Callithrix jacchus: one gene and its partners. The protein of the gene in region 4 interacts with the protein of the main gene of each other region in a pairwise test. Links are inferred from orthologs where the notes say so. Each region holds a gene or a part of one and is shown on either strand. Other genes may lie near its edges.

What was found.
Region 1: the proteins of NCK2 (region 4) and BCL11A interact in binary tests that used the Homo sapiens proteins (3 or more experiments, as listed by UniProt). The two-hybrid records come from large-scale screens. The link is inferred for Callithrix jacchus from reciprocal best matches to the Homo sapiens genes NCK2 and BCL11A.
Region 2: the proteins of NCK2 (region 4) and ABI2 interact in binary tests that used the Homo sapiens proteins (3 or more experiments, as listed by UniProt). The link is inferred for Callithrix jacchus from reciprocal best matches to the Homo sapiens genes NCK2 and ABI2.
Region 3: the proteins of NCK2 (region 4) and LCP2 interact in binary tests that used the Homo sapiens proteins (3 or more experiments, as listed by UniProt). The two-hybrid records come from large-scale screens. The link is inferred for Callithrix jacchus from reciprocal best matches to the Homo sapiens genes NCK2 and LCP2.
Region 5: the proteins of NCK2 (region 4) and RASSF7 interact in binary tests that used the Homo sapiens proteins (3 or more experiments, as listed by UniProt). The two-hybrid records come from large-scale screens. The link is inferred for Callithrix jacchus from reciprocal best matches to the Homo sapiens genes NCK2 and RASSF7.
Region 6: the proteins of NCK2 (region 4) and CHN1 interact in binary tests that used the Homo sapiens proteins (3 or more experiments, as listed by UniProt). The two-hybrid records come from large-scale screens. The link is inferred for Callithrix jacchus from reciprocal best matches to the Homo sapiens genes NCK2 and CHN1.
Region 7: the proteins of NCK2 (region 4) and EIF3H interact in binary tests that used the Homo sapiens proteins (3 or more experiments, as listed by UniProt). The two-hybrid records come from large-scale screens. The link is inferred for Callithrix jacchus from reciprocal best matches to the Homo sapiens genes NCK2 and EIF3H.

Annotation. Positions count from the first base shown.
Region 1 is NC_133515.1:53,588,596-53,592,626, reverse strand, and holds the start of BCL11A (BCL11 transcription factor A), read right to left. Parts: upstream 2,801-4,031; 5' UTR 2,541-2,800; coding exon of another isoform or gene 2,465-2,540; 5' UTR 2,433-2,464; coding exon of another isoform or gene 2,404-2,432; coding exon 2,349-2,403; intron 1,896-2,348; exon of another isoform or gene 1,861-1,895; intron 1,859-1,860; exon of another isoform or gene 1,643-1,858; intron 56-1,642; exon of another isoform or gene 16-55; intron 1-15. UniProt on the Homo sapiens protein: Transcription factor. Associated with the BAF SWI/SNF chromatin remodeling complex. Binds to the 5'-TGACCA-3' sequence motif in regulatory regions of target genes, including a distal promoter of the HBG1 hemoglobin subunit gamma-1 gene.
Region 2 is NC_133507.1:124,617,724-124,621,791, reverse strand, and holds the start of ABI2 (abl interactor 2), read right to left. Parts: upstream 2,801-4,068; 5' UTR 2,576-2,800; coding exon 2,459-2,575; intron 1-2,458. UniProt on the Homo sapiens protein: Regulator of actin cytoskeleton dynamics underlying cell motility and adhesion. Functions as a component of the WAVE complex, which activates actin nucleating machinery Arp2/3 to drive lamellipodia formation.
Region 3 is NC_133503.1:62,517,721-62,521,220, reverse strand, and holds part of LCP2 (lymphocyte cytosolic protein 2), read left to right. Parts: intron 1-965; coding exon 966-1,164; intron 1,165-3,421; coding exon 3,422-3,500. UniProt on the Homo sapiens protein: Adapter protein primarily involved in signaling pathways within T-cells, as well as other immune cells such as platelets, mast cells, and natural killer (NK) cells.
Region 4 is NC_133515.1:15,959,019-15,962,518, reverse strand, and holds the end of NCK2 (cytoplasmic protein NCK2), read right to left. Parts: intron 1,478-3,500; coding exon 1,283-1,477; 3' UTR 197-1,282; downstream 1-196. UniProt on the Homo sapiens protein: Adapter protein which associates with tyrosine-phosphorylated growth factor receptors or their cellular substrates. Maintains low levels of EIF2S1 phosphorylation by promoting its dephosphorylation by PP1.
Region 5 is NC_133511.1:131,332,673-131,336,949, forward strand, and holds the start of RASSF7 (ras association domain-containing protein 7), read right to left. Parts: upstream 2,801-4,277; 5' UTR 2,712-2,800; coding exon of another isoform or gene 2,532-2,711; intron 2,367-2,531; 5' UTR 2,211-2,366; intron 1,483-2,210; 5' UTR 1,419-1,482; coding exon 1,223-1,418; intron 759-1,222; coding exon of another isoform or gene 166-758; exon of another isoform or gene 1-165. Other genes in the region: LMNTD2 (lamin tail domain-containing protein 2), read left to right, coding at 166-758, 2,532-2,711, 2,801-2,953, 3,304-3,391, 3,481-3,636, 4,012-4,097. UniProt on the Homo sapiens protein: Negatively regulates stress-induced JNK activation and apoptosis by promoting MAP2K7 phosphorylation and inhibiting its ability to activate JNK.
Region 6 is NC_133507.1:54,443,039-54,447,052, reverse strand, and holds the start of CHN1 (N-chimaerin), read right to left. Parts: upstream 2,801-4,014; 5' UTR 2,595-2,800; intron 2,470-2,594; 5' UTR 2,303-2,469; coding exon 2,284-2,302; intron 1-2,283. UniProt on the Homo sapiens protein: GTPase-activating protein for p21-rac and a phorbol ester receptor. Involved in the assembly of neuronal locomotor circuits as a direct effector of EPHA4 in axon guidance.
Region 7 is NC_133517.1:80,780,821-80,784,320, reverse strand, and holds part of EIF3H (eukaryotic translation initiation factor 3 subunit H), read right to left. Parts: intron 3,314-3,500; coding exon 3,164-3,313; intron 1-3,163.

The DNA of each region.
Region 1 (4,031 bases), about 38 Mb from region 4:
CCTTCCCGCCGATACCTGGCCGGGCTGTAACTTCACAACGCCGCGCGCCGCGTCTGATCAGCATCCGGCGCGGCCGGGGGAGTGGGGGGCGGGGGAGAGAGGCGAGGGAGGGATGCGCGGGGGTGGGAAGAGGGAGGGCCCCGCAACGTGCCGGGGCGGGGGAGCTTCCGAAATGTGTGACAAGTTCCAGGGCCCAGTGAAAAATTCAATTCCCTAGGCGCACCCACTACCACCACCCCTTTAAAAAACACAAAACCAAGTATAGTTGGTCCTTGAAAACTGCATCCAAAATTTAAGAATCATAAATTGGGTAGCGGGGGGGATGTGCGCCCTCTCACGCCTTTCTTTCCCTTGCTGCCAAACTTTCCTAAGTGCCCACCGCCCGCCTTTCCAGGCGCAGTCAGCCAGCGGGAGACAGCCAGCACCACCACCTCTTGTATAAACTCACAAGAACCTTAGACCCAGCCAGGCCCTGGGAAGAGGGCAAGACCCAAAGAGTGAAGTGCTCGGGGTCCCAGGATCCAGCACCCTCAAAATGCATACTCAAACACACTTCTCCCCTGCCCTCCCCCGGCACCCCCACCACCTGGCCTGGCCGTGCTCAGGCGCAGGGGGGCTGGTGGCCAGATTGAGCGGGAGGTGTGGGGGCAGGGAAAGCACGTGGTGACCTCCCCGCAGTCCGGAGCTGTGGACAAGAGACATCTGAGAGAGTACCCAGGGCAGAGGGGAGGGGAGCCGCAGAACGCGCTTTTACAGTTGCTTTACAAAATAAAAATCCTTTGCAAAGCCGGGTTTCACGCAGCCGATTTCGCAGTCTGGAAGGTCGAGAAGAGGTCTGGGCATTGTGCTGAGGGCGGACTGGGATCGCGGGCCACGCTGGCGCGGAGTCACTGCGCGGCCTGCCGCCGTGCCAGGCGGGTGGGCGGCGGGCGCCGGGTGGGCGATCCGGGGCTGGGTTGGGGCGCAGCGAGGTCCGGCAAGGCCCGGGCGAGGCCAGGCCGCCACCGCTGCCTGCTCCGGGGCTGCCGCGCCGCGCTCGGTCCTCTGTCTGTTTGTTGGCAGGAGGCTCCCGCACACGCGGTGCTTGTAAACATTCAGACACGAGATTTTTCCCAATCAAAATCCACTTCCACTTTTTTTGAAAATCTTCCAAAAAATAGTAAGAGGAGGGAGTTCCTCTCTCCCTCTCCGTGCCGCCGGCGCCCTAAGTTTGCAACTGAAGGGATTTTGGGGAACGGGGTGATTGTAAATTTTTTTACAGATTAGAGATTGTGAGATTTTTGCGGGGGGGGGTAGTGGGGGAGTCAAAGAGAAGACCGTCACAGAGAAGTGTTGGCAGAGCGTCTGGCCTTGGTTTGGGGGCAAGAAATTGTACATTCTCTTGTCTTGTTTTATTTTATTTTATTTTTATGTATGTATTTATGTGCCAGTCTTCTCCTTGCTGCCTCTGAGGTTGGGTCGGGAGGGGTGGGCAGCGGCAACCCAGGCGGCAGCAGTCCGGGCTCCCTCCCTCCCTCTCCCGCGTGCCCCCGGCCGCCTCCTCCCCGGGCCCTGGCTCCTGCCCTTCGGCGGCGGCGGCGGCGGCGGCGCGGGAGGGCAAGCGCGAAGAGCCGGCACAAAAGGCAGCGGGACAAACACCCACCTCGAGCCGGAACAAAAGGCGGCAGTGCCGGCCGCGTCTCCCGTCCTTCCCGGTCCCACGGCTCTCCCCGTTGCCACGACCCCTCTCCCGACTCGGCGGACTCGGGAGCGCCGGGGGCCCCTTTCCACAGTCCCACTTTCTCACTATTGTGGGATGACTACTTTCCTCCCGCTGCACACTTGACCGTGAGCGCGCTGGTGTCCAAAGGCCAGTCTCACCTCTTTTCTCCCCGGGAATCGTTTTTCAGACTTGCACTCACTCACTCCCTCCCCCCATTTTCTTACGGAGAGTGGGAAGCAACCTCCCTTTCCCCACCAGCTCCCACCCCCAGGTTTGCCATTGAGTAGTTCGCATCCTTAGCATTGTTCATTATTTTGCAAAACTGGGGGTGGGAAATCATTGCATTCCTTTTCGAAAAGAGAAATAAAGCGGCGGAAAGGAGGAAAGAGGAGGAGTCAAATTTTTGTAAAATTAAATAAAATTAAAAGGTGCGTGCTGTCTCAAAAGTGCATACATGGCAATGGTTCGAGATGGGATGAGGTTTTTTTTCTCCCTTTAATCTCTTTTACCTCGACTCTTGGAGGTTTTTCTTGTGAAAAATTTAAAAATGTATGCACACACCCCTCTCTCCCCCTCGCTTTTGCTTCTAGTCCTGCGCGCTCTCGTGATTATTAATAATTATTATTACTATTATTGGGTTACTTACGCGAGAATTCCCGTTTGCTTAAGTGCTGGGGTTTGCCTTGCTTGCGGCGAGACATGGTGGGCTGCGGGGCGGGCGGGCGGCGGCGGCGGCGGCGGCGGCGGCGGGCGGACGACGGCTCGGTTCACATCGGGAGAGCCGGGTTAGAAAGAAGGAGACTCCAGAGAAAATATCTTCATCAGTGCCTTTTGACATCCAAAATAAATTAGAAATAATACAAAGATGGCGCAGGGAAGATGAATTGTGGGAGAGCCGTCATGGCTTTTTTTTTTTTAAGCAAAAAAAAAAAAAAAAAAAAAAGGAGAGAGAGAGAGAGAAGAGAGATAGAGGGGGAGAGAGAGAGAGAGAGAGAGAGAGATGAAAAAAAATGGCAAAAGCCCCCCTGAGCTGCAAGTTCAAGTGCGGACGTGACGTCCCTGCGAACTTGAACGTCAGGAGTCTGGATGGACAGAGACACACAAAACATGGGCAGGGCGAGCAGGAGAGAAGGGGAGGAGGGAAGGGGAAGCTCACACCAATGGACACACATCAGGGGCTGGACATGAAAAAGAGACCAGGACAAGCCAATGGCCAGTGCGGGGCGGGGGAGGTGCGGGGCGGGGGGCTCCGCGGACGCCAGACGCGGCCCCCGGGGGAGGGGCAGGCGGAGGGGAGGGGGCGCTGGGGCCGCGGGCTCACTAGTGGCCGCAGCGAGCGCCGCCGCGGTGGCGTGGCGGGGAGAAAAGAAAGGGGTGGCAGGGGTGGGTGGAAAGGGTGGGGGGGAGCAAGACGTGCGCCCTGCTCCCCCCCACACACGCGGACCCTAAAATGAAAGATTATTCTAAAAGAAAAACAGAGAGAGAGTACACGGGGAGGCTGCAGCCCCGGGCTGGCGAAGCGCGGGCGGAGGGAAGCCAGGTAGAGTTGCTCCCGGACACCCTCCTCCGTACGCACACCCACTTCCCCTCCCCGCCGCCGCCGCGCTCGCTCCCCGCGTGCAGACGCCAGGGGCCGAAGTGAAAGCCCCGAGCCCGCGGCCGCGCTCGGGAAACTTTGCCCGAGGAGAAGACAGCAAAGAAAAATCACCCGAAGTTGAGAGCTGAGCCTCCAAGTTACAGCTCCGCAGCGGGCGAGGGGAAGCGGGAGGGAGCGCACGGCAACGCGGAATCCAGCCCAAGTTTGGAGGGTTGCAGGTCCGGAAGGGCAGCTCCCGGGTCTCTAGGAGCCCGGGAGGCCTGGAAAGAGTGGACAGGGGAGAGGGAGGCGGCGCAGGCAGGGGCCCAAGGGCGCCCCCAAGGCCGAGCCAGGGACCGGGGATCTGAGCGCCCCTACAAGCGACTGGGTCTGGATGCAACTGAAAGCGCCGGAGTCCCCGGCTCCTAAGGGTCGCAGAAAGAGAGCCCGAGGAATAAAGAACGAGGAGCCAGAGTCTGGCCCCCGGAGGGGCGCGCCGGGGGCCTGGGCGAGAGAGGCGCTGAGGCGTCCACCTCCCTGAGCGGCCGAGCACAAAGCGCGGGCAGTCCCGGGAGACCCAGTCCCTGGGAACGTGCTCCTGGCGCCGCGGGAGGTCCCCGAGCCCGGTCCCTAGGAGAGACACACCCCCTCCCACTCCAGAGCAACTGCAAAAGCACAGAGGGATGGAAAGAAAATGTTTCTTACGGGCAGAGCACTACTGTTCCTGTGCTGTTACCCAGGGAAAGAGAAAAT
Region 2 (4,068 bases), on a different chromosome or scaffold from region 4:
TTTTTTGAGATGGAGTCTCACTCTGTCACCAGGCTGGAGTGCAATGTCACAATCTTGGCTCACTGAAACCTCCGCCTCCCAAGTTCAAGATTCCCCTGCCTCAGCTCCCGAATAGCTGGGATTACAGGCGCGTGCCACCATGCCCAGCTAATTTTTGTATTATTCATAGAAACAGGGTTTTACCATGTTGGCCCATATGGTCTTGATCTCTTGACCTCGTGATGTGCCCGCCTCGGCCTCCCAAAATGCTGGAATTACATGCATGAGCCACCATGCCTGGCTATTTTATTTCTTACTGGTAATAATTTCAATGCAGTTTTCCACCCTCAACTTCTCTTCTGACCTGCAACTCCCTATCCATAATATGCTGCACAAGGCAATGGGATTACCACTTCAGTCCTTTAGGTTTTGCCTCTCCTGGAGATTGTGAATTCCAAAAAGAAAAAAAATAATGCAATATTGGGAGGGAATAAGAAAAAAACAAAAGATTGTGAATTCCCTCAGAACAGCATTGCTTCCTCCAGTCCTCCTTGGTACCAGCAGTGCACTACGGAGTGTAAATTTAACATATTAATTTCCTCCAAGATCAGCCTCTCCTGCTACCTAGACTATGAAACTCTGTAGACACTAGGTATGTACTATCCACCCCTCACGAAGTTCTAGGCCAAAAAAGACCTTCAATTTTAGCGAAAAATTGAGCAACTAAACCTTTTTTTTTTTTTTTTGAGACATAGTCTCACTCGTCACCCAGGCCTGAACCTCTGAATCAGCAAAGTACCTTACAAGTGGACATTTGTATTTTTTTGTATTAATCTTGCTTACATTTCTTTCCTAGTAGCCATATTCAACTGTGTCTTTCGAGGTAACAGGTTTATACTGCGGTACATTCTCAAATACAAATGTTGTCTACAAGATAACAATATCTAATCACAAAATCTCACTACTGTAATCAACAATGTGGCCATTACAAAATTTATGAACCAATAAAATTGTAACATCTGTTTTTAAAATTTTACACTAAAACATGAAAATGCTTTCCTATATATCTGATGTTAAGGTGTCTCCTGCCTGTAATCCCAGCATTTTGGGAGGTCGAGGTGGGTGATTACTTGAGGTCAGGAGTTCGAGACTGGTCTGGCCAACATGGTGAAACCCCATCTTTACTAAAAATACAAGAATTAGCCGGCTGTGGTGACGTGCGCCTGTAGCCCCAGCTACTCGGGAAGCTGAAGCACGAGAATAGGTCGAGACCAGTTTCAGTGAGAACAGATGGGATGGGGCCACCGCACTCCCACCTGGACTACAGAGCCAGATTCTGTCTCAAAAAGAAAAGAAAAAGGATGCCTGGAGAGATGGAGGTGGGAGCAAGAAAAAAAAAAAAAAAAAAAAACAGGACTGTGAAGAAACAGTTTAACATATTGCTTCCATCTCCACCTTTATCCCAAGAGAATTTAAATGTGAAAGAAAAAAATGGAGGCAGAACCCATAATTCAAAATCTTTTTTTTAAAAAAAAGCAAAGGATGCTGGATTTTGCAAACTGTGCATTTTAACCTGCTATCCTTTCAAGTGATTTTTAAAGAAGGATTTTTTTTTTAATCCACAGAATATTTTGCTTCATCCAGAAGCAGCTGGATCACATGTCACCCAATATCTGCCGCCTCCACACACACGCCGCTACCCCTGTGAGCCCTGTGTCAAACGATCCATCACGGTATTAAAAAAAAAAAAATTAAACCAGGAGGTTTATCTTCCCAATTCTCTCTAAGAAACAGTAATAGTCCGTCCTCCTCCCACCCCCAGGAAAATTTTCTAACGGGACTAGAGGGAGGAGGGAATCAGTTGATTATCATTCTCCATAGGGAGAAAAACGGCATTAACTTTCAACAAGAGACCGCTGCTCTTCCACCGTATCCCCTTTAGAACATAAAATATTAAGGGCTTTTGAAGCATTCACAGGAATAGAAAACTGAAGTCTGAAGCACTTCACTCTGCAGCAAGATAGCCGCTTAAAAATCGTCCAGAATTTGGGGGATGGAGGTAACCCGTCAAAGCCCGCGAGACCCCTACCCTAAGGGGGAGTAGGATTCCGTCAAACAGAAAATGCCACTCTCCGCCCCCTCCGCCAACCGGAACGCTGACCCGCGCGGAGTGCGGGGGCGGCCGAGGGCAGGAGCGGCGAGGAGGCGGGACGCGATACACGCACCGAGCCTAGGACTGCTTCACCGCTTTTAAATAGGTTTTAAAGATGCAGTTTATCCAGCCGGAGGATTCCCACCCATTCACCAGCCCCAGCCCTCACCCAGCTCCCCACCCCCATTGGGGTCTCCACCGGGCCATGTCCCCGCAGCGGTCTCGGCCCCACGCCCCAAGGCGCGCGGCTCCCCACTCGGGGGTCCCCTACGCGCCCCTCACCGCCCACCCGAGGCCGGACGCGCCCCAGCGGGGGATGCTTCGCACCTGGATGTAGTTGTTCTCGCAGTAATCGGCCACCCGTTCCAGATTCGTATAGCTGTCGAAGAGGGCCCGGCGGCCCCCCGGGATTTCCTCTTCCAGCAGCATCTGCAGCTCCGCCATCTTCACATCCTCCTCCTCCTCCTCCTCATACAGCTCGCAGAGGGAACGGCGGCCGCAGCGCCAGGGAAACCCAGGACCGGGAGAGGAGGAGCGGCGGCGACGGCGGCGGTAACTCGGGAGGAGCGAGAAACAGCCCCAGCGCGCGACAGGGGAGGGGGCGACGGGGGCGGGGCGCGAGCCGACGGACTGCGAGGACGGTCACCGCGGCGACGGCAGGCCGGGCGCGCGCACGCGCGCTCCCCTCTCTCCGCCCCCGGGCGCCCGAAAAAGATTCCCACCCTCGCCCGCGCCGCCGGCCCCTCCCCCACTTCCGGCGTCTCCAAGCGACGACAGAGGTGGGGGCCGGGATGCGCGCGGGAGTCGGTGGCGCAGTTAACCCTTCCGCCGCCCGCGGACCGCTGGAGCGGCTGGAGAAGCCCTCACCTCCCGGCGGCCTTTGTTAGCCCGGCGGGAACGCACCAGCCAGTTCCGCTGGCCTCCCGCCGGCGCCCTCCGGGACTCACCTCGGCGCTGTCCTCACCCTGGGGCCGAGCCCCCGTGGGGGTCATCGGCCTGGGGAACTTCTCGAGGCTTTTCTCCCTCTGCTGCTGATGGGGAACCGAAGGAGGACACAGCCTCCGCTCTTGGGACCCTCCTCTGTGAAAGATCACTCCTCATCGGGGCAGAAATAAAGCTCACAAACTTCCACGCAGCTTTCAATGCCACCTGACTTCATTTTTCTCAAATTTGACCCCATCCTCTTTGTTGCCGTGAATTGCAGTTTCCTAACCCCAGTTTACCTGCGCTCCGGCCTCTTTACACTTCCCCACCAAAGCCTTTCTCTCGTGCCAGGTTAGCCCCTTACTCTTCTGGTTTGCGGTCCCCTGGGCCTCAGCTTTTTATGTTTGCCATTTCGATGATTTGCTTCCTCACCCACAACCTTTTCTGTCATTTATCTAATGCTGTCAACTTCGCTGTCCTTTTTTTAATTCATGGTTTCGGTATTTAAAATTTTGAAAACGATTTTGCTAGTAGTAACTGCCTTCTTCACGGGGCTGTTATGTAGATAAAAATCAACATTTATGTGAAAACACCTTGAAAAAAACATGAAGTGCTACAAAATTCAAGGCAGATAATTTTGCTCTTGCAATTATAATTCTGTTTTTATTCTCCAGATACTGTGTCCTGTTTCCCTAAATCCAACTACCCCATACAATGTAATCTTGAAAAACTAAAACTCCTGACAATTGCTGAGATACAAAGCTGTGACCTTTATTTGTGCTGTGGAAAATCAAGGTTGACTTCCAGCAGTGCCATCTTAGACTTGTTTAGTTAGAACAAAATCCATTGTTTTCAACACTTGTTCTTAATCTGGTGATCTCTTGGCCCGCCTACAGTGAATTTTTTTCATTCAGATGATGAGGAAACTATGTTATACTTCCGAAAAAAATCACTTTTAAACCATACCATTACAAATTTCTGGAGCAAACCTTAATGTTATTGTATTAGCTTCA
Region 3 (3,500 bases), on a different chromosome or scaffold from region 4:
AGGATTTCTGGGACATTGGAACATACCTTTCCTCAAAAAAGTGGCCACTTCCCATTGCTTTTTCCCACACTGCCCTTGAGTGTTGAGCTCTGGGCTCACTGACTCACGCCTGGACGTTGGCATGACCACGGTGAGCGCTCATCACTGCTACTGCTGCTGCCACCTCTGCTGGGAAGTCATTCCGATGCTCCTGCACTTTCACTGCCTCAAAGGCAAGCACCCAGCACTTAGAGCTTACTTTCCTTGAGACTCGGGAAGAAGCAAAAATAAAGTACAGTTAAAAATTTAAAATTTAGAGAGTCTTTTTCAAGAGAGCAGCTTCAAACTCAGTGTCAGATTTCATGAATAATGGATGTGTTGATAGACTCAACGCTCAGCAAAAAGAATAGAGCAGCCTCTGACCATCCCCTTCTAGACACAACCTAATCTGCCTTCCACTTAACAGGCTTTGTTGATCTGTTTTCCCCATTAGCTAGGTTTTCAACACTGCACTAGGTTATAATGAGAGGAAATTTTTTGAGCACATGCACACTAAGAAATGGTAATTAATTAGTATCATCACAAATGCTCCAGGCCCTTAGTCTTTCTCTTGGTAAAAAGAAAGTAAAAAATGTGTAATGTGCTGGGAGTAAAAAATGTTTTTACTCAAAACAGAGCCTATTCCTGTGCCCTCTGTTCCAACATCCTCCTCATTTCTTCTCTTTTTCTCTGTTGTGCAAAAAGACGTTGTGTAAAAAGGTGGTCTGAAGACCTTCAACAAGGTCTCAAGTCCATGACTTGCTGCCCCTGTGATATGATGCTCCCTGACCTCAGTTTCCTCATCTGTAAGATGAGAGTAACCATCTTCAGGCTGCCTGGTCCCGGGTTATGCTGCTGTGAGGCTTGGCAGGGAGAGAGTAGGCAAAGGCACATCGCGGGCCACAGAGCCTCTACAAACTACACGGTCTCTGCCACTGTGTTGGCAGGAAGAAGATGACTATGAAAGTCCCAATGACGACCAGGATGGAGAGGATGACGGTGACTATGAGTCCCCCAATGAGGAGGAAGAGGCACCCGTGGAAGATGATGCGGATTATGAGCCGCCACCCTCCAACGATGAGGAAGCTCTGCAGAGCTCCATCCTGCCTGCCAAGCCTTTTCCCAACTCCAACTCCATGTACATAGGTAAGGGCCCGCTTCCGGATTCTCTGGCCCCAGCAGCCTAAAGCCAAGCTCCCCACTGCTGCACAGAAGGCCGATGGCCCAGCTTGCCCATGTAGGAGAAAGCTCTGGGTGCCGATACCCGCTCGGCTTCTTAACAGCTATGTGGCTCTGTACAAGTAACTCTACCTCTCTGGGCCTCAATTTCCTCATCTGTGAAATAGGAAAATAACATACAGATCACGTAGGCTTGCTGTGAGAACTGCTAATAGTGCAGACAACTCCTGCCTGTGGTGGCTGGTATCAGCATTGAACTACCCCACCTAAGGCTATTTGGCAATTTCAGCTCATTCTGTGGTTTACTCAGGTACTCCAAGAGTGCTTTCCTGTTCTTTCCCATCTTTTGATCAAATCATAGTCACATGGTATTAGTATGTTAGAATAAACATGAAGATATTGAGTAGGGTTTGATTCTAACTTTAAAAAATGAGACGATATTTATGATTTTTATTGTCTCTCTGTCCTTTTAGCCCCCTCACCTCTCCATTCACTCATTCAGCAAACACCGTTGATCTGCTGGAAGCCCAGGCCCCATTCTAAGTGCTGAGAAACAATCAGGAAAGATGACACAGCCCCTGCCTCCTGGGGTTTACATTCTAATAGTGACCTTGACAGAAAATAAACAAATATATACTTGTATCATATACTTTCAGGGAGTAAGCCGAAAATTGAAGATCAGTGCCACAGAAAATGAATATATTTAATCTTTTATGCGGTATAACTCATTTCCATTTTAAAGCCCTTTCACAAAATGCTGTCTCAATATGTCATGGTGGTTTTTTAACGCCCGTGTAATAAGGACAACCGTGATCAAGCCTGTTTCATATATAGAGAAGCAATGAATAAGCCAGTTGTTGAGTGCCTTGTGTGTGCCTGTCATTAAGAAACAGAGTGAGCAAGACAGTCTTTGCCAAGGGACTGACAGTCCAGTAGGTGAGGCAGCCTCTAACAAATGAGCCATGAGATTACTTAGTGAAACCGTGACATAGAGGCAGGAAGACAAGTGCAGGAGATGAGGCTGGGGCGTTTGCCTGAGGGTGTGATCTTTAACTTGTGATATTAAACTGAGATTAAAGGATGAATGCAAGTTGGCCAAGTGGAAATGGATGTGGTAAGGGAAGAAGTTTGAAGCAGTAGAAATGGCCGTGCAAAGGGCCTGAGGCTTAAACGAGCATGGCCTATTAGAGAAGCTGAGAGATAGTCATTGTGGGTGGAGTGGGGTGAGATTAGGTCAGGCTGGGCCTTGTCCTACCCTCATCTCTGTGGAAGAGCCACGCCTCTCCAAGCCTGGGACTAGCGTGAGGCAAGAGAGGCACCCAGGGCACAAAGCGTAAGGAGGTCCTTACGCTACATCTGTTCCCACTCACCCCTCTTGCCTGATGGTCTTGTCCTGGCCTTTCCCCATCAAAGGGGTAGGAAATTGCCAGCCTGTCAATCTGGCCTAGGGACACTTCCTTGACAATCTGGATAATATGAGTTTCTGTTCAGATAATGTGTGTTTCTGTTCAAGGCAAATCTAGCTACCACTTAAGAGTCTGTGGTCTGGTAACAGAAGTAGGTGACCAGCTCCTCCCTTTATGGGAAGAGATGAGCAAAAGGAGGATATGTCAGTGAGGAGACGGCCCAGGGCATTGGAGAGGGCAAGGAAGGGCAGCCAGAACAGGATCCGTATGGGTAGAGAGAGCTGACTTTACCCTACATAGGAAGCTGGGTGTGCCTGTGGGATTTTTTGCATGTGTGTGTGTCTGTGTGCACACGTGTCTCTGTGTGTGCAGGTGTGTGAATACATATGCATGTGTGTGTGCACGTGCATGTGTGCACATGTGTATATTTGTGTGTCTGCATACAGAGGTATATGTGTATGTTTACTTCTTTACAAAACTATCTGAAAATGCTCCCTTCCAGTTCAGGCTGAGCTATTTACAAAGAGGACTTTCTTGATTGGTAAAATCACTGATTAATACCTATTCCTGTGAAGTGCAAAGGAAGCTGAGCCTGTGTAGAAGAAGAGTAACACGAACTGGGACAGAAAAACGGGCCGGGAGGGGTAGGTGAGATCCAGGCTGGGTCTTGCCGTGGCTAGGGTTCCTGCTGGCACTGATGGTACTGGGGTTCGAGGATCATGCACCTCCCCCCCGTGCCCTGAGCTACATCTGTTCCTGCAGACGCCTGAGCTTGACCAACACTCGCCTTTCACCTTAATAACCTTGTGTTTCCACAGACCGGCCCCTCTCTGGGAAAGCCCCCCAGCAGCCTCCTGTGCCCCCTCAGAGACCGATGGCCGCCCTCCCGCCCCCGCC
Region 4 (3,500 bases):
GGAGTTTCACAAATTAAAACTTATTATTTCAATATACAAAAATGTGGCAGTAGAAAATGAAAACACACAAGTAAAAAATGTGAAGCTCTTCTCTAAAAATGACTCCTGCTCTGCAATGAGCATTCAGGAAATGCTGCAGTAATTACTCTCCCATGATTGAACCAGAGTTTTCCCAAGGATAAATACACATAGAGCCTCGTCATAATACTTTTTTTTATTACAATATCCAAAAAACTGGGTATGCAAGTTTAGGGGATCTCAAGACCCCTTCTTCAATTGTAGGAATGTGCCATCTCAAGACGGTATATTTAAACTATAAAGAAGTTCAAATGTAAAGGAAAAAGAAAATGCAATTTCTTCATAAACATTCTGTGTCTCTTACTACCAATCACATACTCTTCTGTAAACCCTGAAAATTTTCCCTGTAAATAATATATATATAGTGTGTGTGCGCGCGTGTGTGTGCGTGTCTGTGTGTGTGTATAAAGTGTAGGTAGCTCCCTTCCCCAAAGATCAGCTGTTTTCCTTAATCATCTGTATTAGTGTCAACAAACAGCTACAGATACATATTTCTTTGAGAATTAAATACATAATTGTGAGATTCAAACAAGCCAAAGGGCAAGAGGAAAAAGCACTATGTGGATGGCACATTTGGGGTAAATTACCAAAACATCTGTCTTTCTGAGTCACCGGTTCCCTCTTTTGCAGACTGCCTTTCCAGGAAACTCTTTATTGCAAGCACAGCCCCAAAGGCACTGGGCAGTCTCCTCACTGCCTTCGCTCCCGGTGGTTCCAGTATTGCTATCAGCAAACATGTTGGCTCCCTGCAGAGTCCGGGAGCCATGTAAGGGCACAGGACACGGGCGAGGGCTGCTAGGACTGGGGCCATTGCACCTGCTCTGCCCAGCACGTGGAGGGCCCACGACGCGGGTGCCGCCGCTGAGTGGCCTGAGGCTCGCTCACGCGCTCACAGGTGCCCCGTGTCTTTGTCATGAGGGGTTCCGTGAGTGGGAACGAGTTGAATGCACGAGTGCCGTTTCCAATGGAAAAGGAATATCGTGAACTCGCCCTGCTCCTCCCCTCCTCTAAAGCTGGCCGGGCTGGGCCGGGTGGGCGCGAGTGTGGGTGAGGCCTGGATGGCGAATGGGAGACAAACCGACCAAGCGACCTGAACATAAAGAGACTCGCTGGGAAGCCGTCGGGGCCGTCCCCACGGGAGGAGCCTCTGCGGCAGGGCCGGGCGGTAGCGCCACCAAGAGGCGAGTGTGGGGCTGGGGCACCGTCACTGCAGGGCCCTGACGAGGTAGAGCTTCTCCCCGTGCTCACTGGTGAAGATGGGCGCCTTTTTGTAGTGTTCCACCAGCTCGTCCATGGTGTGGAAGCGCCGCTGCCCAATGCAGTAGACATTGTCCACGAGCTGCACCTTGAAGTGTTTGTTCTTCCCTGACGCTTTAAGGGACACGGAGAAGTCGCTGGGCTGCGGAGGAAACACAACACAGTTACAGCCGGGCCAGAGCTGGGAGCTCCTGTCCAGCACGGGGAGGCCCAGGACGTGGGCGCTGCCGCTGGGTGGCCTGAGGCTCGCTTCACTGACTGTGAACCCTCTGGGCACCTCCATCCACCTCTCCTGCGTGTCTAAATCCAAACCACCCTTTGTCTTTTTTTTTTTTTTTTTTAATTTGAGATGGAGTTTCACTCTTTTGCCTAGGCTGGAGTGGAGTGGTGAGATCTCGGCTCACTGCAACCAACCTCCATCCCCGGGGTTCCAGCGATTCTCCTGCCTCAGCCTCCCGAGTATCTGGGTCTATACACACCCACCACCACGCCCCGATAAATTTTGTATTTTTAGTAGAGACAGGGTCTCCCCATGTTGGCCAGGCTGGTCTCGAACTCCTGACCTCTGGCAATCTGCCTGCCTTGGCCTCCCAAAGTGCTGGGATTATAGGCATGAATCACCGTGCCTGGCTGGGTCTCTGTTTTATATCTAGAATGGCATCTGATGTTCAGAAAGACCTGGAGGCAGTCCATGATTCTGAAGTTCTGAGCAGAAGAAATGTTACACTCTGCTTAGCCCAGTTTCAGTGCTAAATGTGTTTTAGTTATTTGAAAAGTGCAAACTCATTATGGAATATACAGCACCTCATTATGGAATATACAGTGCTGACCTGACTGCTCAAGAAATCTGTCATTTTTATTTACCAAACTATTTTTTGATAAACCTGGAATTTATTAAGAGTGGTTTTTATGTAGGCAGTAGCTAGAAATATTACTTCTTCTGATGTCTAACACTATTAGAAATTAAGACATCAAAAATTTTCTAATTCTAAGCATTTAAAAATATAAAGAGCAGTGGAAAATTCTGGTTGCATTTTAAACAGTTCACAATCTCCCAGAGGAAGCTGAACTATGGTTTGATTACAGATTTTACTGAAAAATATTTAATTCTGTGATATGTCAGTGCCTTAGTTATATTTCAGAATATTTTAGAAAGATGTCTTTATTTTAATTAAAATGGGCCTTTTATTGACTGGGTGCAGTGGCTCACGCCTGTAATCCCAGCACTTCAGGAGGCCAAGGCAGGCATATCATCTGTGGTCAAGAGTTTGAGACCAGCCTGGCCAACATGGTGAAACTCTGTCTTTACTAAAAGTACAAAATTAGCTGAGTGTGGTGATATGCGCCTGTAATCCCAGCTGAGACTGAGCCATTGCACTCCGGCCTGGGCAACAAGAGCGAAACTCCGTCTCGGGGGGGGAAAAAAAAAAAATTAGCTTTTTTTTTTCCCCCCCCCGAGACGGAGTTTCGCTCTTGTTGCCCAGGCCGGAGTGCAATGGCACGATCTCGGCTCACCACAACCTCCGCCTCCTGGGTTCAGGCAATTCTCCTGCCTCAGCCTCCTGAGTAGCTGGGATTACAGGCACGCGCCACCATGCCCAGCTAATTTTTTGTATTTTTAGTAGAGATGATGGGGTTTCACCATGTTGACCCGGATGGTCTCGATCTCTTGACCTCGTGATCCACCCGCCTTGGCCTCCCAAAGTGCTAGGATTACAGGCTTGAGCCACCGCGCCCGGCCAAAAAATTAGCTTTTATCTCATTTGCTGAACAGCATGCAGGAAAGAAGATAATGAATGACAAATGTTCTTTACAGAAATATCAAGTTTTGATCAATTAATTAAACAACAATTAGTTACTAACACATGCCAGGCAGGCTGTGCCCTGGATACATCTGTGCGCACATGCAGGATATATGCTCCGTGATGATCCAGTGCATATAAATAGAGATGGCTAAATAGAGGTGGACAGATGGCTGCACAGGGCAGTAAGTTCTATGAAGAAAACCCCAGAGTTGCATGGGAGAGGAACATGAGCTACCGGAGCTATAAGTGTGTGAACGTGTGCATATGTGAGAGGCAGTATGTGAGTATTAAGAGAGAATGTGTAGCGTGTGAGTTTATGTGTGTACACACACAGGTATGAGATCTAAGTATGTGTATGCA
Region 5 (4,277 bases), on a different chromosome or scaffold from region 4:
CACCCGGACCCGCTCAGGCCGCAGCGGCGCTCGGGGTCGCGACCCAGACCTCGACCCCGCGCATCCAGCGGACTCCGGGTCTGAGCAGCCTCCGCCAACCCAGGGAGCCCCGCCGCCCAATCGCTCCTTTCGCCCCGAAGTTCCCGGTCTCCGCCGCGGGCACCGATGCCCGAACCACAACCCCAGCCTGGCGGGAGCCCGGGCGTCCCAGCTCCGTCGGGTGGGCGCAGGTGCGGCGACGCCCCCGCCCTCGGCCCCCCGCCCGGGCCTCGCGGAAAACGCTCCCCAGTTGGAGTTGGTGCCCGGCCGGCTCGAAGCAAGCCCCGCACTCGGAAGGCCCCGGGACCCGACGCGGCTCACCTGGGCGCTCGCCAGCCTCGCGACCCGCTCGGGCACCGCCGCAACCTGCCGCCCCCAGCGCCGCGGCGCGCCCCGACCCCGCGCCCCCATTGGCCCGCGGCCCGCGTGCCCCGCCCTCCAGCACCCCTATTGGCTTACCCGCGCGGGTGTCCCGCCCTCCAGCCCTCGTCCATTGGCTACCTCCGTCACGCCCCTCCCCGCCCCATTGGCTCGTCGCCGCGCCCCGCCCCCAGAAACTCCAGGTGTGGGCGGGCCAGAGGGCGGGGCCTAGATGCGGCCCCCATCCCCTATCCTGCGAGGTACGCGGAAACGCGGCGGCTGCGGCCCCCCGGGCGGCGCGTCGGGGCAGGTGTCTGGCCCCGCTCCTGGGCGGACTTCCTCAGCCGCCTTCCAGTGTGGTGGGTTCCTGCCCAGGGAGGGTCGCCGGCCTGGGCTCCCGCAAACCCCACCTGTGCTCGGGGGCAGCGGGGCCAGCACCGCCCCTCGCGGCCCCCGCAGCCGCCGTCGCCTGGACGCGCAGGGGTCTCAGGCTAGCAGGTCACAAGTCCCCGGCTAGGGACGTGGAGCCCTGTGGGGCTGGTGGGCGCCGAGCCCTGGTGCGGGAGGTGCGCGCTCGGGAGAAGGCCGGGGCCCGGGCTGAGGCTCTTCTTCCCCGACACCTGCCTGCCCTTTAGGACCCGGGGCCGGGCCTGGCGCATAGCGAAGCCGGCTGGAAGCCGCTCCTCTGCCCTGCTGTCCCGGCCGGGGTCCGCAGCCTCGTGGTCCGCCATTCATTGCCTATTCTGCCCAGCTCAGAACGAGTTGTGGGCGTGGAGGGGCCTCCTGCCGGCCTGTCTCCTGTGCTCCTCTAGGGAGGCCTTACCCAGCCGACAAGCTGCAGAGATGGAGGGCGAAGGCTGGAGTGCTTGGGTCAGGTCTGGCCTCGCTTTTGTCCAGGAGGAGAGGGAATACTTGTCATGATAATGGCAATGCCCAAAGGGGTCCCTGGGGGTGGCCCAGAGGGTGTGGAGATGGCTGGAAAAGGTGAGGCTTCCAGCTTGCGGGTGAGTGCTGGTCATTGAGGTCGAAGGGGCTGTGGGCCCGGCCTGGCGGTGCAGGCAGGCACCTGTAGTCCCAATAACTCTGGAAGCAGAAGTGGGAGGACCACTTGAGCACAGGAATTCGAGGTTACCATGAGCTGGATCACACCAAGGAACTCCAGCCTGGGTAACAAAACAAGACCTTGTCTCTAAAAAATTGATTATTGGCCGGGCGCGGTGGCTCAAGCCTGTAATCCCAGCACTTTGGGAGGCCGAGGCGGGTGGATCACGAGGTCAAGAGATCGAGACCATCCTGGTCAACATGGTGAACCCCCATCTCTACTAAAAACACAAAAAATTAGCTGGGCATGGTGGCGCGGCCTGTAATCCCGGCTGCTCAGGAGGCTGAGGCAGGAGAATTGCCTGAACCCAGGAGGCAGAGGTTGCGGTGAGCCGAGATCGTGCCATTGCACTCCAGCCTGGGTAACAAGAGCGAAACTCCGCCTCAAAAAAAATAAAAATAAAAATAATTATTAATTTAAAAAGAGGCTGTGGGTGGGGTGTACTACTGTAAGTTAGCCCTCACCAGTCCCCAGCTTGTCACTGTTACCTGTCTGCTTCCTGTCCCCCACGTACCCATGGCTATGCTGGCCTGGCTCACAGGCAGCAATGCCCCATATGTGTCACACTGCTGCCACCAGGCTGGGTAGGGGGTGCTGAGGCCTCCCTCAGTTTGAGGGTGTTGGCCACTAAGTGGTTCCCCGCCACCCCAAGCTGAGCAGTGGCTCAGTCTCTCACACCTCCTCCAGCCTGGGCTGGCTCAGAACTCACCCAGGGGCCTGGTCTGGGGTCTCCCTGGAGCCTCCAGGTAACAAACAGCCCCTCCCCTTCTGGGTGCTGGTATCCAGGGCAACGGTATAGAGCCCTTCCTTCCCAGGCCTGCTTGGAGCTCTGGCCTCAGGTGAGTGCTGGGGGTGGGGTCCTGAGCTGGGGAGACCAGAGAGAAAGAGAAGGACACCACGTCACTGGCAAAGGTCAGAAACACACAAGTGTGGACACCCATTTTGGGGCTCCTCAAATAGCCACCGCTGGGCGGCCCCAATGTGGCCACACAAGCACACCCAGCAGACCTGGCCCCCCCACTCCTCCCAGCTCCCAAAGAACATCACGAATGGCTCCCAAGTCTGGCCCCGGGGCTGAAGAAGCCAAGGAGGAGGCTCTCTCGTCCTCCACAGACCGAGAGTCGGTCAGTGGTCACCTGGGACCTCCAGCGGGCACACCTGCAGCCTCTGCGACTTCCATGACACGGGTGGCCTGCTCTGCCAACCCGCAGTAAGGATGGGAGGGAAAAGTGGTGAAGCTCCTGGGCCAGATGGCTGGGGCCCAGCCTGAGCAAGAAGCGGGGGACACTGTCACTGCAGGTTGGCTCCTGAGTCCCTGGATCCTCGCACGCTGCGGCTGCTGTGGGGGCAGCGAGAACTAGAGATCCAGGCCTTGCGGTGGGCGGTCCGGAATGGCCGGGACACCCGGCTCTGGCACATCCTGCAGGAGGTGGCGGGGCTTCCGCCCAAGAGGTCTGAAGCACAGCATCCAGCCCAACCCAACCCTGCCCTGTCCTGGCCCGGACTCCTGGTTTCTGACCCCAACCCCAACCGCCGAGTCAGATCCTTTCCCTTGTCCTTGCCCACGCCGACCCTCCACCCTGACCCTAAGCTAACACACTGCAGCTTCAACCCCAGCCCTGCACATGTGGATGGGTGCCAGGCCCCTGCCCAGACCCGTGGGTGGCTGGCCGGCCCCAGTGCAGCTGTACTGTCTGCCCTTGGGGCCAAGATGGCCGTGGTGCCCCTCCTTCACCACTGACCTGGTGTTAAGAACGCCTGCACGAGCAGGCTGGGGGCTGCTGAGGTCATCCCTCCTCCAGGAGCTCCCACAGTCAGGAGAGGCTCCTGCAGAGCCAGGTCCAGAAGCTGACCCTGCAGCTGAAGGAACAGAAAGAGCAAGCCCAGTGGGTGAGGTGGGGGCACAGGGAGTGGGCGGGGTCCTGGTGTTGGGAGCCAGGCCAGGGCTGGCCTCTCACCCACAGGCCCTCCTGGAGCAGGAGAAGGAGTACCTGGAGGAGCAGCTGCTGGAGACCACGCGCAGGCTCCAGGAGGTAGAGGCTGAGCTGCAGAACTTCCAGAAGTCCTGCCTCCTGCAGCTAGCCCGCTCCTCGTGGGTGGGCCGCATGCTGCAATCCCAGACTGGCAGTGTGGAGGTGAGCGCAAGCCCCGCTGCCCCAGCCACCCTCCCCAGCCCTCACCCTCCCATTGGGTACCTCTGCTGGGGGCCCTGGCCTGCCTGGAAGCCTGCCGGGCTCAGGCTGCCTCTGGAACTCCAGGCTCCAGCGGGGAGGAATCAGGAGGCCTCAAAGTACAGGTGTGGTCAAAGAGGAGCGGTGCTGTGGGGGAGGGTGCCACTCGCCCCAGTCCCTGCCCACTGGCCTCTGGTCCCCTCTGGCAGGTGGTGATGGCAGGGACTCTGATGGACCCAAGTGACCTCTCTGAGAACATTCAGGCCCCCACTGGGGAGGTGAGTTAGGCCTGCCACGTGTGTGGTCTGGGAGGAAATGTGCCTCTTGTTTCCTGGCCAGGGCTTTCGGCTGGAAAAAGACTGGAACAGCATTGCCCGCCGGTACCCCAACCTCTTCACCAACGTGGAGCTTGACTCCCAGCAAAAGTAACGGCACAGGCAGGGCCTCCCCAGGGGCTAGAAGGGGGGGCTCATGTTGGCAGGTGAAGACCCAGGTCACTCAAGGACACTACCCCTTGGTGTCCCTGGAGAAGTCCCTTAACTCTCCAATGCTCAGTCCTGTGATCTGTGGAATGGGTTGGGGTTGAAGGGGCTATCACTGTCCTG
Region 6 (4,014 bases), on a different chromosome or scaffold from region 4:
CACAAAGCAAATAACTAGACTAGACTCTGCTGCTGGACTGTGCTAACTAATCAACCAAGAGAGGGCCTTGGCAGTGGTTACTCTGGAGAGCCTCAGGCCTTAACTCTGCTGAGCTCTGACAAATCCCACTGATCTGGTTAGGTCCTTGTGTCTACCTCTTTTCACTATCATCTCACAGAACTTTATTGCTCCATGGCTCTTCTGTTCTAAGTTGGTCATAAAGAGTAAACAGAAAGGGACATGAGGCACTTCTGACTAAGAAGTTAAACTAATCAAAGGTAGTAAAATCTAAAATAAAACCCATTTCTTCTAACTCTTGGGCACGTCTCTCAACATACACAAAAAGCTATTTTGAATGGGTAAGTTTGATCTAATCTCCTATTATTTATCTTTAATACAATAGTGTTCAACCTTGAGTGAGCATAAGAATCACAAAGGGAGTCATTTTAAAATCCCCTTCCCCCATGTCTCTGGGCAAAAGAATCTACATTTTTAACAGACATCGCAGATGACTGATGAGTGGTGTACAACCACTTTTAAAAACAGCTGCTGCTCTATTACTACTTAAAAAATAGCCTCTGCACTCAAGAGTGCTTTGCCTTATAATACAGAAACGTTCACATTGTAACAAACTGGATATTGTAAACTGAATTCTATTTTCCCATAAGTAGGTTTTTAAATTTTAAAGATACATTATTCATTTTGAAGGCTGGGGGTGATTTCTTACACTTTCTTCTATAGGCTACATTCCATGCTTTTCCATTCCTCATCTTCACCTCAGTGGTTAAAGATTTAGAATTTAGAAATCCTTTTAAAAGAGGCTTTTTACCCCCAATTTATCTTTTTTTATTCATCAGGAATGTGAGTATTTGAAATGTTGACTTGTAAACCTTACTTCTGAAAACAAACCTTGAAAATGCCAAATATCTATTTAGGAAAGAAAATTTTTGTATCAAACAGGTCTACATTTAAGGAAAATGTAGCTATTAAATAATGCAGATTAGATCCAAGGTACTGGGAAACAATGGACATTTTATTATTTTTCAGAAAAATAGGAAACTTTTTAAAATTACCTATGGAGGATCATCACCAAGTAAGCAACGTCACTTCTAATAATGTACTTGGACACAGTAAACACAATCCCAGACTGAAGGCTGGTGAAGTGGATTCTGGACTCAGTTTTGCCACAAAAGAGCCATGTGACCTTGGGAAATAACCTCTCTAGCACTACGTTTAATTTATGAATAAGATGGTTAAATAAAAGTAACACTTTGATTCCAGCAGCTTAATTCACTGGAAGGTATTTACATCAAAAAGCATTTGAGGTACATATCACCTCTAAAGTGCTTGATCAAATGACATAATTAAAACTGAACTGGAAACTTGATATTGTGAATAACTTATTGAGATTGTTCTTGTAGCTATCAATTACATATCATTGTACTTTGCTTCTTCGAAAACGTGAATAGTTTGAACGTCTAAATGTTCATATACTGACTTTTCTTAAAGTCAAGTACCTAAATGTATCATAGTCCAGTTTTGAAAGAGGAAATAATGTATCTTTTCAGTCTTTTTTCCCAACCCATTGTTACTGCACTGACAAATACCTTGAAGGCTTACCCACTAACAACAGTGTTGCAGTAATTACATCACAAAAGTAACATTTCTTTCCTAATAAAAACTCAGATATTCTCCTGAGATTACAGCTATATTCCGGTAACGAACTTTCTTCTGTCTGCTCTCATTCGTTAGCGCAAACATTTAAAATTTTAACCAATAACCAGTTCACAAATCATTATTTCCAACGTAATATACTGAGTCCAAGAGAAAAAAATCGCCCAATAATCCAACAGGAAGCAACGCATGCATTTGGCAATTCCAAGGAGGCTGGCGAAGCACAGATACCTCGTTCAAAATAAATAAACTTTCCAAGGATCTTTATTTACCGACTTGGGAAAGGCAGGTTTGAAAACAACCAGTTAACTTCACTCCCAAGTTGGCATCTTAGAGAATCGTTTAGCGTTTGCAAAACACCCAGGACCTCTGAGCCTCCCAGCCTAGAATTGGCCAGGGGAGCACACGCCCATCGGCCCTGCCTGGAGTGGAAACAATGGGAGAGGCTCGAGGGAGCGAGCCGGCGCCCCAGGCACCCCAACTCTGCGGCCCCGGCCCGCCCCAACCCCACGCGCCGTGCCCCCTCCCCCGGCGCCCGGGCCCTCCAGGCCCCCACTCCCGAGCCCCAGGACGCGGCCCACCTGCGCACGGGGAAACGACTGCACTTACCAAACAGGGTCAGGGCCATTGTAAAGGCGCTCGCCGCCGCCCACGAGTCCACGCGCTCCTCCCAGGCCAGCTGAGGATCACCTCATCGGCCCACCGCGCTCACACCTCGGAGGGAGTGGGGTGCCCGACGGGGCGTGCCGGGGGCGCCGGCGCTCTGGGAGGCTGCAGGCCGGGAAGCGAGGGTTGCTGCAAGAAAAAGTTATTCACGCGTTATCGTCTGGTGCACCATCCCCAGGGAGCCCCGCTAGCTCTCCGCGGGCCGGCACTTGTCGCTGCCATCCGGCGCGGAGCGTGCGCGCGGGAGGAGGTACCTGCGAGGCGGGAGGCTTGGTAGCGGCGCAGTGGCAGGCGGAGAGGCGGCGCCGCAGTGGCGGCGGCGGGGAGAGCAGCAGCCTCGCACAGTCCCCGGCGGGGCGCGCTCACTCCGCATCCTGTGGCCTCGCAGACGCCATCTTGCGATAGCGTCTCCCACGAGCTCTGCCGCGCCGCCGCCTCCCGCCTCTCTCTCGGTCTCTCTGGCCGAGTTGCGTTCCCATGGCAACGGGCGCGCGCGGGGGGCGGGGGGCACGAGGGGGCGCACTTATTCCCCGGGCGGCAAGGAGACGCCCGCGCCCCCCTAGAGGCGGCCGCCCAGAGCGGAGATGGAGTCGGGTCGTAGCTGAAAGCCCAGGCTTTTTCCTGAATGGATTTGAGGAGGCGCAGAGAGGAGAAAACTGGCTGTTACTCGAAAGAGGAAGAGTCACGGGAGGATGCTGCGTGAATGCAGCGCCCGGGCAGGGTCATCTGGGGACCTGGTGCGCGTGAGGACATATTTCTCCTCTTGGCGCCCTCCGGACTGACTGAGGCTGGAGTCGGTGACCTGAAGCTGCAAGGCGTAGGAAGGAACAGGCACTGAATGCTGCTTTCCTCTCCCTTTGGACTTAGGAACGGCTAGGAGTAGTTCTGATGAAATTATCACACATTAGGAAACAGGAGTCGTTTAAAATCAACTGAGATTACCTAAAATAATTTGTTAAAAGGCCGATGCTTACACTTGATTTTCCTCCCTATACCTCTTAGATATCGTCTCAAGGAAAAAAAAAATCAGCATGTGTCACTGACTGGCACTTATTTGCCACAAAAGATTTTTCCCCTGAGCTTCTTGTATTTATCTGACAATCACTGGCAACATCCTGCTTTCTGGGATGTTCTCTCCTCACCTCTGCCTTTGCCATGAGAAGCCATACACCACCTTGAGATTGTCAGCCAAAAGATGTTCTTGAAAAGCTGAATTACGATGTTTTTCGTTCTTGCCGTTTAATGTATTCAAAAAGTCATTCTTCTCTAGTTGCTATATGTATGCCCTGTTTAAGAAATTCCTTCTTTTTTCTTGTTTCTCTGCTTAGGGATTTGATGCTATTTTGGTATCTGATCATATAGAGCTTCTCTTTGGTTCTCCTTTCTTCCTTCAGGCATCTTTCCTCTTTTAGTTCCTCAGCTTCCCTAGTGTCATTTCCCTCTTCTCTCCGATTTTCAAATAATTCTTTAAGAATATTACAGAAATATATTGCATTTAATGTATCTTAGGCATCGAATCGTGATAAAGTGGGGGATTACTACAGTACTTCCAATGGAACCACAGTTAATTGACCATCATTATTTCACAGCAGACTTAAGCATTAGAAGAAAAGCAGGTTGGAAGGAGGAGCGCCAAGCCTTTTGTTTCAAGTCAGTTAACTCAAGAAGAAAGAA
Region 7 (3,500 bases), on a different chromosome or scaffold from region 4:
TTGCCTAAAGAGTCGAACATGTAAAAATAAATTTTTAATTGAAGAACAAGCCAATAAAGATAATAAAAAATAACTAGCATAGAAAGAAATGGAAAATCTATGAAGAAGGAAGGAATACACCAACCTAATGAAGTCCTGAGCAGGCAGAGGACAAGGGGCACTGGCCTCAGGCTACTGATCTTTTCATTTTTACCAATGAGCAACGTGAGCACATTAAGTATAAGAAATGTCATTAGCTACACGATTAATTGTTAAGTCATTTGTCATTAATTGCAAAAGGAAAACAGAGAAAGAAAAGATCATCACCAATGCTGTGGCTGGGAGGTTAAAAGGAAAGTGGTGACAGGAGGGGAAAAAACAACAGCAAAAAAGAGGCACTACCACAGGCAAAGAAAAATCTACTATTTATACCCAGACCTTAAATCTTGGAGGCTGGTTACAGTGATGAGAAAGGCACTACTAAAACAGACCCACTGTTTCTACCCGAAAAGTCTGTAATATAAAGTACTAATAATATATGCTGCAAGTATATGAAGTTATTTTGAAAGAACCCTGATACAAGTACAAATATGTGGACTTCAAGGATTTCATTAACTTTTATATTATGATGATGCTCTTCATAAACATAACCAATCAGAAACACTTAAAAAAACATCAGTGTACTACAGGTCTTAAAAGGGCAACAGGGCCGGGCGCGGTGGCTCACGCCTGTAGTCCTAGCACTTTGGGAGGCCAAGGTGGGTGGATCACTTGAGGTTAGAGGTTCAAGACCTGCCTGGCCATCATGGTGAAACCCCATCTTAAAAAAAAAAAGAATCTGAGAAAAGGGCAACAGAAATTAACACTGACAGAAAATCAGACCACTACCAAGACCAATTTTGTGGGCATCTTTTCAGCACCAGTTTAACTAGGAAGCTGAAACAGGGACTTACTGTTAGGAGTTTCAGTAACGTTGCCTTTTCTTTTCTGGCCAAGCAAATGAAGAACTGAAAACAGATAACTTAAACAGATGTGAACCAGGACATGAAGTGTTAAGTCTGCTCTGGCTACAGTATCAATTTATGCTTATAATCCTTAATGTATGATACCCACCCTTAGTTTACTTTTTTTAAAAGAGGAAATAAAAACAGAATTGTTTTACACATGTGAAAAGCTGAACGCCTGTGCTACACATTTTTAAAAACTAATAAAGCTTGCTATGGAATAACTATTACTAGGACTTCCATCTAATAAAATTAAAAAATTAGATTTTTTAACAAAAGCAAATACAGTAAGTTTTAGACATAGCACAGAACAAATTTATCAGGCACATCAAAGAAACTGGTGCCCATGTATAGGCTGTGAAGGGAAAGACCAAGTTTAGGACTTGCATAAGAATGATTTCTGATGAGATTGCTTACAGAAACTTTCATGGCAACTGGCCTGAGCCATCATCACACAACTACTGTTAGAAATTAAAAACCGACATGTATAAAATGTATGTCTTTTAAAATAACGTAATCGATTTGGTTCAATGTAAGAGTCTACAAGCACAAAAGCACTGCTTCAAGGTTGCTTCATTATTTTTTCCCTCCTAACAGGAACGTCAATTTACACTTTAAATAATTTCACATGGAAAGCACAGAAATAGGGCCTCTTTTCCTCATTTACATAAAAACACAGAAGACAAAAACTATAATAAAATATTTCTCTAGGTCCCAGTTGCTAGGGCAAACTGAGAACGCTTTCTTGGCTATTATAAATGCCGCTTTGGACAAATGGACATTATAGAGCAGCTCACCGGTAATGTTAAAAGCACCATAAGGGATATATTTGTTTTGTATGCTCTATAAAGAAGCCTGGGAAAAGGTGAAGACATAAATTATATAAGCAAAAGCTTTCGTGCAGTAAATTTAAAATTATTATATGACTATATACTTAATACATCAAATTGTAACCTTGTATACTGAAAAAGGTTCTTAGCTAAATGCTTTAAATACAGGTGTGCCGAGTGTGTTTCTAAAAGCAATAAAGAAAAATATGACCTTCTAAAACAGACAAATTAAAGGACTATTATGAATACTTGTTTGCAGTCAAACAGTACGCTCTTTGGCGCCAAATTAGCCTTGCAACCTGGCTGTGTTACTTAGCACTCCACTTACATTCATCGTCCATATCCCTGCCCTGTAAAGACAGTCCAGTGAGTGGCCTGTGTGATCAATTAATGCAATGGAAGGTGGCACTTCAACCACAGTCCTACCTGTGCTACAGCATGGAGAACATTGATGTCTCTGGTCCTTCTGAGTTCATTCCACTTGCCTTGTATTGAGGAAGTACAAAGTCTGTACTTTTTTTTAAGTCTCTATTTAGGATAACTAGAAATCTAATAAATAATTGAGTCCGCTCCAAACTAACTGCTTAAGAAAATACAACTTGTTTCTTTCAGCCAACCAACATAGATGACATGAGGCTCAAAGGGCATTTAAGGAGCGATACCTGTGGCTCTATTCACATTTCTGTTAAGAGTAATAGATGAGGGAAATAAACATGGATTTCACAAAGGGAAGAATACTTCTTTGTGGAAACCTCTGCATTTTAAAAACATAATAAACATTATGTCAGCAACTAGAGAGCTAAGGCAGTCATGCTGGAGGAAATCATGTCACCAACTAAGACAGCTAAAGTCAGTACCAGGTTCAGAAAATTCAAATTTTAGTGGAAAATGCAAACAACTGGAATTTTACAACTGAGTCTATATGTGAACAAGGGCAAGTACAATCGGTGAAAGAATTCTGTTCTTTTCCTGAGCATTATTAAATATCCAGATGTAATACCCTAAGCCTCTTAGGATCCTGTATAAGAAATAAAGCTGAGCCAAATAAAAAAGCCTCCCCCATGGGCACTGACCTTATCAAAGCACAAACGATACAGCAAAGACGACAGCAGAGGGTTCTTCTAATTCGAGCAATTAGTATTTAAACAATGTGTTGTTTCATGTTATCAGTTTGCCGTTTTTCTTGAGATCCTAACAGGGCCAGACTATTACTCCATGTTAACACACATTTTAAGAACGTATAAATGTTCTTAAGTAACTGTTTTCATGTTTCACAGGTAAAGTTTATGTGAAAGAATCTTTTGCAAAAAGTTCTAAAACACAGACTTTTCATTAGGCAGGGCCACTTACCTGCTGGCAAGGCTGAGCAATTCATGTTTATCTGCTACAGCTGACTTCTTTTCAAGTTCCCACATTAAGACATTAATCAGATGTGAATTTTTAATTACAATCGGCACTTCTTCAAACATGTACTCAAAGGTGATATTTGCTTTTTTCAATCTGTGAAGCATGTTACAAATACTTTAGTCTGATGGTCAAAAGTAGGTGCTAAATTGACTACTTCATAACATTTACCTAATTATAGGCCCTGTCCAAGATCTTTGTTTCATCAGCACTCTTAAAAAAAAAAAAGGCAGAGAAACTAGAGTTTTACAGAGTCAAGCATAAGTTTGAGTGATCTGAGTAA